Linked DNA regions of Ovis aries. The protein of the gene in region 1 interacts with the protein of each later gene in a biochemical or structural test. Links are inferred from orthologs where the notes say so. Each region holds a gene or a part of one and is shown in the gene's direction. Other genes may lie near its edges. The genes, in order: TNRC6A, CNOT1 and AGO2.

Region 1 (3,264 bases):
TGAACCTCCCACATGGAAACGCTTTGGTCCGTTACAGTTCAAAAGAAGAGGTAGTGAAGGCACAAAAGTCTCTGCACATGTAAGTTGCCCATTCTACGCAGGCGCCTGGAAAACGCCCCTGGGGGTGCAGGTTCGGAATCCTCTTGTTAGGGCCCCCTCGGGTGGCTGGAAGCACCTCCGGTGACCCCGCACACCACCCCTGGACCGGCACGTGTGGCCCCGCAGTGAGCATCTCAGAGCAGCTGCAGCCTCCTGTGTTTTGGCTCCAAGGGCAACGTTCAGAAGGGAGCACATCACCCCAGATCAAAGTGGCCCTAGAAAAAAAAAAAAGTGGCCCTAGAAAGTCCCTTAAATTTCCCGTTAGGAGACAGGATGTGATCTGACGCCTCAGCAGAGCTGGGCGGCACGTCTGGGTCTGGAGAGCCCTGGGCGCTGTGCCCTACCACATGTGGCCTCCGGGGCGCGCTCGGGCTGGCGGGAGGGCCCTCGGCGTCCTTGCATGCCCGCCCTCTTCTTTTCCCCCTCCGAGGCGACAATATGCCCCCCTGACTTTGGCTCAGACCCCTCAGCTGGCCCCCATCTTCACCAGGCCTGCTTGTGTCTCTCTCCTCCAGGTGTGTACTGGGGAACACTACTATTCTTGCTGAGTTTGCCAGTGAAGAGGAGATCAGTCGTTTCTTTGCACAAAGTCAGTCTCTGACCCCTTCTCCCAGCTGGCAGTCTCTCGGGTCCAGCCAGAGCCGGCTGGGCTCCCTCGACTGTTCCCACTCATTCTCCAGCCGGACCGATCTCAATCACTGGAATGGTGCTGGGCTGTCGGGAACTAACTGTGGAGACCTTCATGGCACTTCCCTCTGGGGGACCCCACATTATTCCACAAGCCTGTGGGGTCCTCCCAGCAGCAGCGACCCCCGGGGAATTAGCAGCCCATCCCCCATTAATGCTTTTCTTTCTGTTGACCACCTGGGTGGGGGTGGAGAGTCCATGTAACAGTGTAGACTAGACTCACGAACTTCGACCTCAAGCCTCGAGAGAAAGGAGCACTAAGTTGGGCTCGCCGCCTGCAGCCAGGGGCCACCTGTGGGAACAGCTATTCTCTGCACATTCTCCACTTTGTTTTCCCTGAAACATATCAGTTTGAATACTTGAATCATGCAGGCCAATATTATAATGTGAAAAGGTATCTATCTATTTACACTCCCAAATAGCGCCATACATGCTAAACCGTATAGAATGAGCTCACTTGTGTATACTCATCATGTTTAGCCTTTGAGTTCTCTTTTTTCCCCCGTTCCTACCCCTCCCCCCATTCATTCTTTTTCTCTTCTTTTTGCAAACAAGTTTTTTGGGCTGATAATGTATGAGCTTTTAACTTTGCACTGAAGGGTGTTCTCTCCGTCTACTCGGCAATATGGGGAGGGCAGCTGTTCCAGTGTAAATGTTTACTCAAGGATGTTCTTAAGGTGTGCGCTCTCTACTATGCCTTGATGTTTGCCTACCTTATTGTGGTATCGTGGAGTTTAAGAGATCAAGTTATGATACTGACCTAGGACTATAAATGAAAGTATTGCACCAGTTTTTCATGTTATAAAACTAAAGAATTTCACTCTGCAGTTTGAAAAACTGTGGCCACAGCTGTGACTTGCAGCCCACCTGCCACCCAGGACGGGCCCTGCACTTTGAATAGGCTTTCCATTTTGTTTTGAAGGTTCCCACGTTGAGCCTTCTTGTTTACAGATTTTTTTGTTTGTTTTTTGAGAAAAAAAAAAAATGTTTACTCTTCCATCATTTAAAAAAAAATTAAAAGACAAAAAAAAAAAAATGGAGGATGATTTAAAAGATGCTTTCTATCTCTGGGAAAAAGGAGCAGCATTTGGCCATGTTCTTTTGTTTTTCTATTCTGTCCTAAATCAAAGAGCATGGTTCTCAGGAAAACCAGTTCCCCAGTTTAAAAAAACAAAAAAAAAAAAAAAAAAACTCCTTGTAGTTTCTTATAGGAAAAAAGAAAAACCCCAACTTTTAGCACTGATACTACATATTGCTCTGTTTAAGAATTTTCTCTGCCAAAAAAAAAAAAGAAAAAAACAAAAAAATGCTTAAAGCTGGAGTTTGAGATTCTGCTTTCAGATGCTGTCTTTTTATTAGTGAGTGATGATGGTTTGCTAATAATCAATAGGTAATAATTTTTTGTAATCCCATCAAGTGGCTCTCTGTTTCCGCTCTCTCGTGACTGTGTTAATGTTTAACTGTTGTACCTTAAAGCCGAAATCAGTAACTATGCATACTGTAACCAAGATATTGGGCTTACAGAATTGTTCGTTGTATAAAGAAAATTTTAAATGTTGTTGCAAACTAACGAGTTATACACCATTTTTAAAATTTCTTTCTCCCCACCCCCCCTTTTTTTGCCCACAAATGGTATTATAATGCTTGCTTAGTCAAAGAAGAGAGACTAAACAAGGGTAAAAATTTTAACAGTACAGAATTTGCCATCATTTCATTGCCTTGATTCTAACTGTTTGTGTCCTAAGATGCAAAAGAAGTCAGTGGCTTTTAACTGTTTACAAATAGAATGTGATTGTAAAATGTACAGTCTGGTTGTGTTTGAATTATGAACTTTCTTCAGATATAATAAACCATGACTTTTTGGCTGCTCAGCATTAACTGTCTCTTTTTTGTGAATTTATTTGTACGCTCTTTTTTATAACGAAAGTTTCAAAGTTGCTATGTATGAGGGTTCTCATAGAGCAACCAAGTAAAAAAAAAAAATCTAAGCAAATATTTGAACATTTTATCCGAACTTATTCACACTTTCACCCTGAAATAATGTGAGAACAATGGGAAACTGTTGCTTGCTCCTTCCTACCCTCTCTGAGCATCTTTGGGATCTTGTTGCTCAAACTCTCCTGTGACTTCATCTTCCCCACCATTTGTGCCCATCTCAAGCCTCAGCAAGAGACCATTTGGAACATGAAGCTTAATGACTTGACATTGTTCTTAGTGTTAACTCTCATACCTCTGTTACAAAATGAGAAATGCCACAGCCTGGACTGGCCTTTTTCTTCCCCCTTCACGGCCCTCGCTCCTCACCGCAGGAGCTTCGGGGACAGAACCTGTGTATGTATTTCAGCGTATGACTTCAGATCATGCTCCAACTTGCCAGGTGTAAGCTAATGTTGTTGGACACCTTAATATAAGCAAATGTTGTTCAATGCATTCAATGTATATTGACTTCCATACTGGTTTTTCCAAAAACCAAAGGTA
Region 2 (2,330 bases), on another chromosome or scaffold:
AGAATACTGGAGTGGATAGCCTTTCCTTCTCCAGGAGATCGTCCCAACCCAAGAATGGAACCCACATCTCTTGCATCTGCACAGGCAGGCAGATTCTTCACAGTTGAACCACCTGAGAAGTCCATGTGTTAAATAGTTGTGAACAAAAGGACTTTGTTCCTGCCCTCCTGAAAATTAGTCTGATGGGCACCAAAAAAAAAAAAAAAAAACCCACACACACAAACAGAATTACTAATCATTGTTGAAACCAAAAAGTAGTTTTCAACACAAGGTACCATTATTTTTATGGATTAGGGATTTTTTTCAAGTGTTGTTGTCAGCATATTTAACCTGAGTCCTGAAGCATCAGGCCTTTCAAAGTTCATGTTGAAGAGCTTAAACTTGTCTTTATTACCTGTAGGTTGTAAGGTTTTAAGCAGGAGAAATAACAGGATCATACTTGTGTTTTACTAACAATAGTTAGGCATCTATTGCAGATTGCTTGGACTATGCATAGCATTTGCAGATTAGGAAATGGGTACATCCTAGTGAGAGAGATACAGGCAAACTTAAAGCACTGGACTAGACTTGTTAAACCTACCCCTTAACCTATTATTAGCTTCTAGGTATTAATATTCCTTAGTTTTATATACTAAAAATTAGTATTTTATTATTAGATGTTCAGATGATAAAAGTCCTTTTAGTGATTATATATAAAGCATCAGTGAACATCCTTGTACTCACGTATTTGTTCCTGTGCTTTATTACGTCTTTAGGATAAATTTAGAAGTACAGTTGGTTAGGTCAAAGGATGTGAATATTTAAGCCAATACTGACTGCCATTCAGAAGAATCATCACCCCCAGTTTACATGTGTACTAGTAGTATTAACTTTCTTATTTGAGTATGTATTAAGTGATTATCTTCTCTGTGCCATGTAATCTGTTATCTATTTACCTTAGTGTTCTAGGCTCAGTAGGGAAGAGGTGGGGTTCAAACCTAATTCTAGGATCTATTTATGCTAACTATTCTGTATATCCACCTTCCTTTTCTAAAGCTAATGGAGAAGTGGTCATGATCTGGTGTTTTCCTGTGCATTGATCAACTTTTTCTTCCATTCTCCAGGGTTCTTTTGGAACGGTTGATTGTAAATAGGCCACATCCTTGGGGTCTTCTTATTACCTTCATTGAGCTGATTAAAAATCCAGCATTTAAATTCTGGAACCATGAATTTGTACACTGTGCCCCAGAAATTGAAAAGTGAGTCAAAAGTAATTCTTTTCATTGTTTCAGTCTTAAGACAGGAGAAATAATCATTTGATGGCTTCAGCTTGGGTGGGTAATTAAGAAGGGAGTAGTAGCCAAAATTAGTAAGACACAAGGTTTCATCACGCCTGAATTTTTCTCACTAGCTTGTACTTGTTTTCATTCTTCAGGTTATTCCAGTCCGTCGCACAGTGCTGCATGGGACAAAAGCAGGCTCAGCAAGTAATGGAAGGGACAGGTGCCAGTTAGATGGAACCACATCTCTGTTGTAAATGTGTCTGCCTGGAGGTCCCACTGTACCAAGTTCATAAACTGGCTGAAGATCCTTTCAGCTCTTCCTGACTTTCCCGGCCCTTTGGTTCTTGGGTATCTGCCCCAATTACTGTTTGGGTCAGCTACCTGTCTATGTGGACACGTTCCAAAGTTTAAATGCATTTTTTTGACTCTTGGCCAAAATTTAGAAGATGCTGTGAATATCATTTTGAACTTGTGTAAATATATGAAAGAGAAAACCTTTGTCTGAAACTTCTTGGGTTTGTGCAAAATGTGTTCAAGGCAAGTAGGTAAACTGGTACCTGCCCAATTTATAATGGAAGGAGCTGCTGATGCCATGCACTTGTCTGGGGGTGGAGTGGGGGTGGGGCACAGCACCATTTCTTCTGACATTCCAGGTGTCCCAAAGAATAGCAAGAAAGCCAGTTTAAATATTGTGTAACTTAAAAAAAAAAAATACACGGACAGGGACCTTGAAAATCACCCAGTTGTTTTTAAAAAATGTGGATGTGTAGAATCTGATATGCTAGGAACATGTGCAGAGTTCACATTTGAGATCCCATGGGTTTTTTATTTTACCTCTTCCCCACATCTACAGCTTGCTGCTGGGAAAGCATCATTTTCTCTTTCCTGCTGGAGAACACACCCTCTTGGGCCCTGTGAGACACTTTTTATAAAGGGAAGCCAAAACAGGCCTAAAGCTCCCCCATCTCATATTACAGAAATTGTGCAGAAAGGAGCCAAATAGTATGAATTGCCCTTCCCCATTATCCCAATGAATGGCCATATAGGCTGAGTTCAACAACCAAGTCA
Region 3 (4,394 bases), on another chromosome or scaffold:
GGCACGTCGGGATGGTACCCAGTCCCACCCTGGCGTACCTTCTTACCCAGGCCACCTGGGCTCCTAAACACACGTTCAGCTGAGTAGCTGCCTAGGGTCACCTGTGGATTTGTGTTTCCACAGCATGAGGGTCAGGTGGAGAGGTGGTCTGGGTGGCTATGAGGGTGGGGGTGGTGGGCAGAGGATTAGATGGGGAAGAATGGACATCTCTGAGGCTGATGCCATGGGACCCCCTCATTCATATCGATTACTCGGTGAAGATGGAAGCCTTCTGACATTTCTTTCTGGAGGGCAGGTGGATTCTCGTGCATTTATTTAAGAATGTCCTTGAGAACTGCAGAGAGAGAAACAAACCTATTGGACGCTTGCAGGCAGAACTCCCGTTCATCTTTGTACCATGCTAGGCCAGCGGAACACAGCCACAGGTACACGGTGTCAGATAATACTTGCTTACCCGAGGAAGAAAGGAGCAGGCAAATATGTTAAAAAGATGACAAGCAATTTTGGATTGTATTTCACCTTCCGGTTTCTAATCCCTCATCAAGCAGGGGAGAAAGGTGTTGACCTCTGGCTGGCCTCCCTGGAAATGACTCTGAAAAGCGAAAACTGGATGCAAGGGTTTGGCTGGAGGGAGAACGTTTCTGCACGAGGGGGGCGAACACAGGGATGTACGGCGGAGCACGAGGGGGTCCGTAAAGGAACAGGGGAGGCCCCGAGGGCTGGAATGAGGAGTTACAGTTTGATCTGATCACGGATAGCGGCTAAAATTGACCAAAACCTGAAGCTCTTTACAGGGATTCTCTAGGTAGGTTCTCCGCCGGGAGGTGGCGGTGTGGTAGTGTGCGAGGACCCGGGCGCGTTCAAGTTCAAGCTCCGGGTCCGGAGGAACCTTCGCGACATTCCTGTTTCCTCCTTTATCGCTTAAAAGAGCCCGGCTGCGATGCCGGGGCCCTGGGGCGCGGGCGGCACCGCGTCCACACGGGGCCCCAGGTCGCCCGGCGCGGTGGGGGCTCGGGATGGGGAAGGGTCCGCTCGCGCGCGCGGGGAGGCGAGGGCTATGTTTTCTTTTCTTTCTTCCCGGTCTCGGCGACGGGGGTGAGGGGGCAGCGCCGCGCCGCCTGCTCCGCCCAGTCGGAGGAGGCGTCGCGCTTCTGAGTGGCTACAGGGTCCCCCCGGCCCCGCGTGCGCCCCCGCTACGGGGCCTCGCGCCACCCTCGCCGGCGCCGGCCCCGTCCGCCGTGCCCGGCGCCCGCCTCGGCCGCCGCGCTGGTCTGCCCCGCCCCCGCCGCGCGGGCCCGCCCCGCCCTCGCCCCGCCCCTCGCCCCGCCCCCGCCGCGCGGGCCCCGCCCCTCCCGCGCCTCCCTTCCTCTCCCGCCCCGCCCCCGCCCGCTCCCTCGCCCCGCCCCGCCCCTCCCCCGCCTGCTCCCTTGCCCCTCCCCCTCCCCTCCCCTTCCCCCCCTCCCCCGCCCGCCCGCCGCCGCCGCCTCCGCCCGCCGCCCCGGCCGCGTCGGGTAAACCTGTTTGGCGGCCGCGCCGGGGCGGATCGTGCGGCCGGCGGCTCCCTCGCGGCTCGCGGCGTCGGGGCCCGTGGCGCGCGCGCGGCCGCCCCTCGGCCCCGGAGCCCCTCGGCGGCGCCACCATGTACTCCGGAGCCGGCCCCGGTGAGTCCGCGCGCTCCTCCCCGCGGCGGTTGGCGGGCCGGGCGCGAGCGCGGCGCGGGCGGGCGGGGGAGCGCGGCCGGGGGGTCGGGGGGCCTGGGGGGCGCGGGGGGCTGCCGGCCGTTCCCTCGGCCCCAGCGCGGACGCGCGGCCCCGGCCTCCTCCTCGGGCCCGAGTCGTCGGGGCGCCCCGCGCGGCCTGGGCCCTTCCCGCGCCCCGTCTCCGCCGCAGCCCGGCGGGCTGGGACCGGGCCGGAGCGCGGACTGGGCCGGGCGGCGCGCGTGTAGGCCCGAGGCCCGGGCGCCCGCCTGCCCGGCTTCCTGCGCCCGGCGCCTGGGCCCCTGCGCCGCGCGGGGCCGGCGGGGCCGAGGCCGGGGCCGCGCTCGAAGCGCCCGGGGGCGGAGAGGCCCCGGCCGGGGGCGCTGAACTCGGGGTGCGGGCGGCGCGGGGAGGAGCGCGGCCGCTGGGCGCAGACCGAGCCGCGGCGAGCCTGGAGCGCTCTCAGTTTCGTTTTTCTTTTTGCCAGCACTTCTGCGGCCCCTTCTCCGAAGGAAAGTCTGGAAATGCTGAATTTTGGCCAATTCTTGCTGGTAGTTAGGACCGCGGACAGAGAGGGATAGGAAGGCGCCCTAAAACCCTAACCTGCGCGCGTCTCATTTTCATTCCAGACACACAGGCTCCTTATTCAAGTGTTAATTGCCTTTTACAGTTAACTAGAGGAAGGTGAGGAGATGTGCTGATTTCCTTAGCATCTTTTCTCACTAGCCGGCCTCCCTTTCTTTAGAAAAGTTCTGAAAAACTTAGAGCAGTAACACATTTTTTAAAGAACTTTTTTGGGGGAAATGCAGAGTAGAAGGGCGATTAGCTTGCTGAGGCAAGAAAGTGGTCAAATGTTGGTAAGCTTTTTCCCTTCTCCCGCCAGGCACGTGGCTTCTAAATTTCCCGCTGGCCCTGCCACTTGGACAGGGCATATCCTGTCCCCTTTGTCCACCAGGCTCCAGCGGGCTGAAGGCCCTGCCGGCTGGGTCCTGCCCTTTGTGGGCCCTGGCCCTCCCAAGACTCCTGCTGCTGGGGCTTTGGCCGGACCTCTTCAGGCTCTTCTCATCCATTTGGATCCCTTAACACTTTCTATTCACTAACAGTCCTGTGCCTTGTGAATACTCACTGTCTTGTTTTCTGATGTCACTTAGTTAGAAAGCTTCTCCAAGGCTGAGCCAGAGCAACTTTTAAATTGCTGTCAGCAATTTGATAGAAGAATGGTTTTAACTGTAATGGTTTTAACTGGAAGGTGACTCAGCCCTGGTGGGGAAAGGCCCAGGGCTCCAGTCACAGTCACAGTCCTGGGGGCAGACAGACTTGGCTTCTTAGAACGGGTGGGCAGCACCCACCCATGATGTGGCAGGGTAGCCCCCACACCTGGGTGAGTGAGAATCTCCCCGTCCATCCCTCTGAAGGAACCCAGCAAGTCTTAGCCACTACACTGAACATTTTTTCAGATTTTCAATGTAAAAGTTGGAGGCCCAGAAAAAGTGAAGAACCTTGGGGAAGGTCAAGCTTTTGTGATGTGTCTGATGTTCACTGAGCCACTGGACAGCTTGCTAAGTTGCTGATGGTCATTTTGAAGATGGACTGCAGAGGCACAGAGAGGCTATGAGCCTTTCGAAGGTCAGCCAGCCAGCGAGCAGTAGGACAATGTGTGTGATTCCAAGCAGACTCTCCATACACTCCCTTTAGAGAAGTGGCTTTCGGTTCTTTTGACCTTGACCCCCAAGAAGAAACACCTGTTACATGTAGACTGGACCCAGTGCTCGGGTGTTAGAGTATAATTGAAACACGAGCTTCAGGAAGAACCGCTCGCCAGTGCTGTGTGCTGTGCACTGGGATATTTTCTTGTCTGTTTTATTTTCCAAAAAGGTTTAGTTCTCTGGATCTCCAGGCTCGTTCCGGGTTCTCCATGGCTCTTGGAAGAATCTTGCTGTGATGTGGGCCTGTGCATCGTGGCCTGGTGGGGAGGGGCCCTCTCATTCACTGTTCGTGGATAAACCTGCTCTGAAATCGGACAGCTTTGGTTGAAAAAATAAATGAGTCTGTAGGATAGTTCTTAGCCAGTGAACGGCAGGATGGGAATGAACCCAAATTTCAGGCTCTACAAGCGTGCTGTAATTATAAGGCTGTGATACAGTTCAGTTTTATTCTACACACTCAGGCTTTTAATTTTATTTAAGAGGGATATCTGGAATAGAGTCTCTTCGGTGAAACTCTTTTTAGTGTATTTCCTAGTTTAGAATAATAAAAAGACATTTGAACTGGATTGTAGAAAAAATTACAAATAGTTTTGCTACTTCCCATTTTAATACCCTTATTAAGTGACTAAGTAAATTAACTTTAAAAATAGAGTCTTGTTATGGACTGTTATGTCTGTTAGGAAATGCTATTATGTATGTGAATTGGTATCTGGACTCTAAAGTTAGGTAGTTACTATTTTTTAGTTTTTTGTTTTTGTTTATTTTTTTAAAATTATTCGAAAGAGTTAGTGGTTTAGGATGGGTGGATTCTTCTGTGACCCTGAACCTTCATAGATGAACAATTTTTTTTTTCGTTCCAAACCGCTTAGAGACCTTAAAGGGAATCTCAGTATTGCCTACTGAAGGGGGCTTGTTGGTCAGTTTTTTCACTGTGCTCAGACTCTTGTGGGTTACATTCCTCACAGACCTGCTACAAAGTAACTTCTGCCAC

Evidence for each region.
Region 2: the proteins of TNRC6A (region 1) and CNOT1 form a complex in vitro, tested with the Homo sapiens proteins (2 studies listed by BioGRID). The link is inferred for Ovis aries from reciprocal best matches to the Homo sapiens genes TNRC6A and CNOT1.
Region 3: the proteins of TNRC6A (region 1) and AGO2 form a complex in vitro, tested with the Homo sapiens proteins (2 studies listed by BioGRID). The link is inferred for Ovis aries from reciprocal best matches to the Homo sapiens genes TNRC6A and AGO2.

The regions. Positions count from the first base shown.
Region 1 is NC_056077.1:23,016,870-23,020,133, forward strand, and holds the end of TNRC6A (trinucleotide repeat-containing gene 6A protein), read left to right. Parts: coding exon 1-79; intron 80-614; coding exon 615-990; 3' UTR 991-2,660; downstream 2,661-3,264.
Region 2 is NC_056067.1:25,892,201-25,894,530, reverse strand, and holds the end of CNOT1 (CCR4-NOT transcription complex subunit 1), read left to right. Parts: exon of another isoform or gene 1-1,103; coding exon 1,104-1,238; exon of another isoform or gene 1,239-1,414; coding exon 1,415-1,493; 3' UTR 1,494-1,756; downstream 1,757-2,330.
Region 3 is NC_056062.1:15,983,566-15,987,959, forward strand, and holds the start of AGO2 (protein argonaute-2), read left to right. Parts: upstream 1-1,513; 5' UTR 1,514-1,639; coding exon 1,640-1,661; intron 1,662-4,394.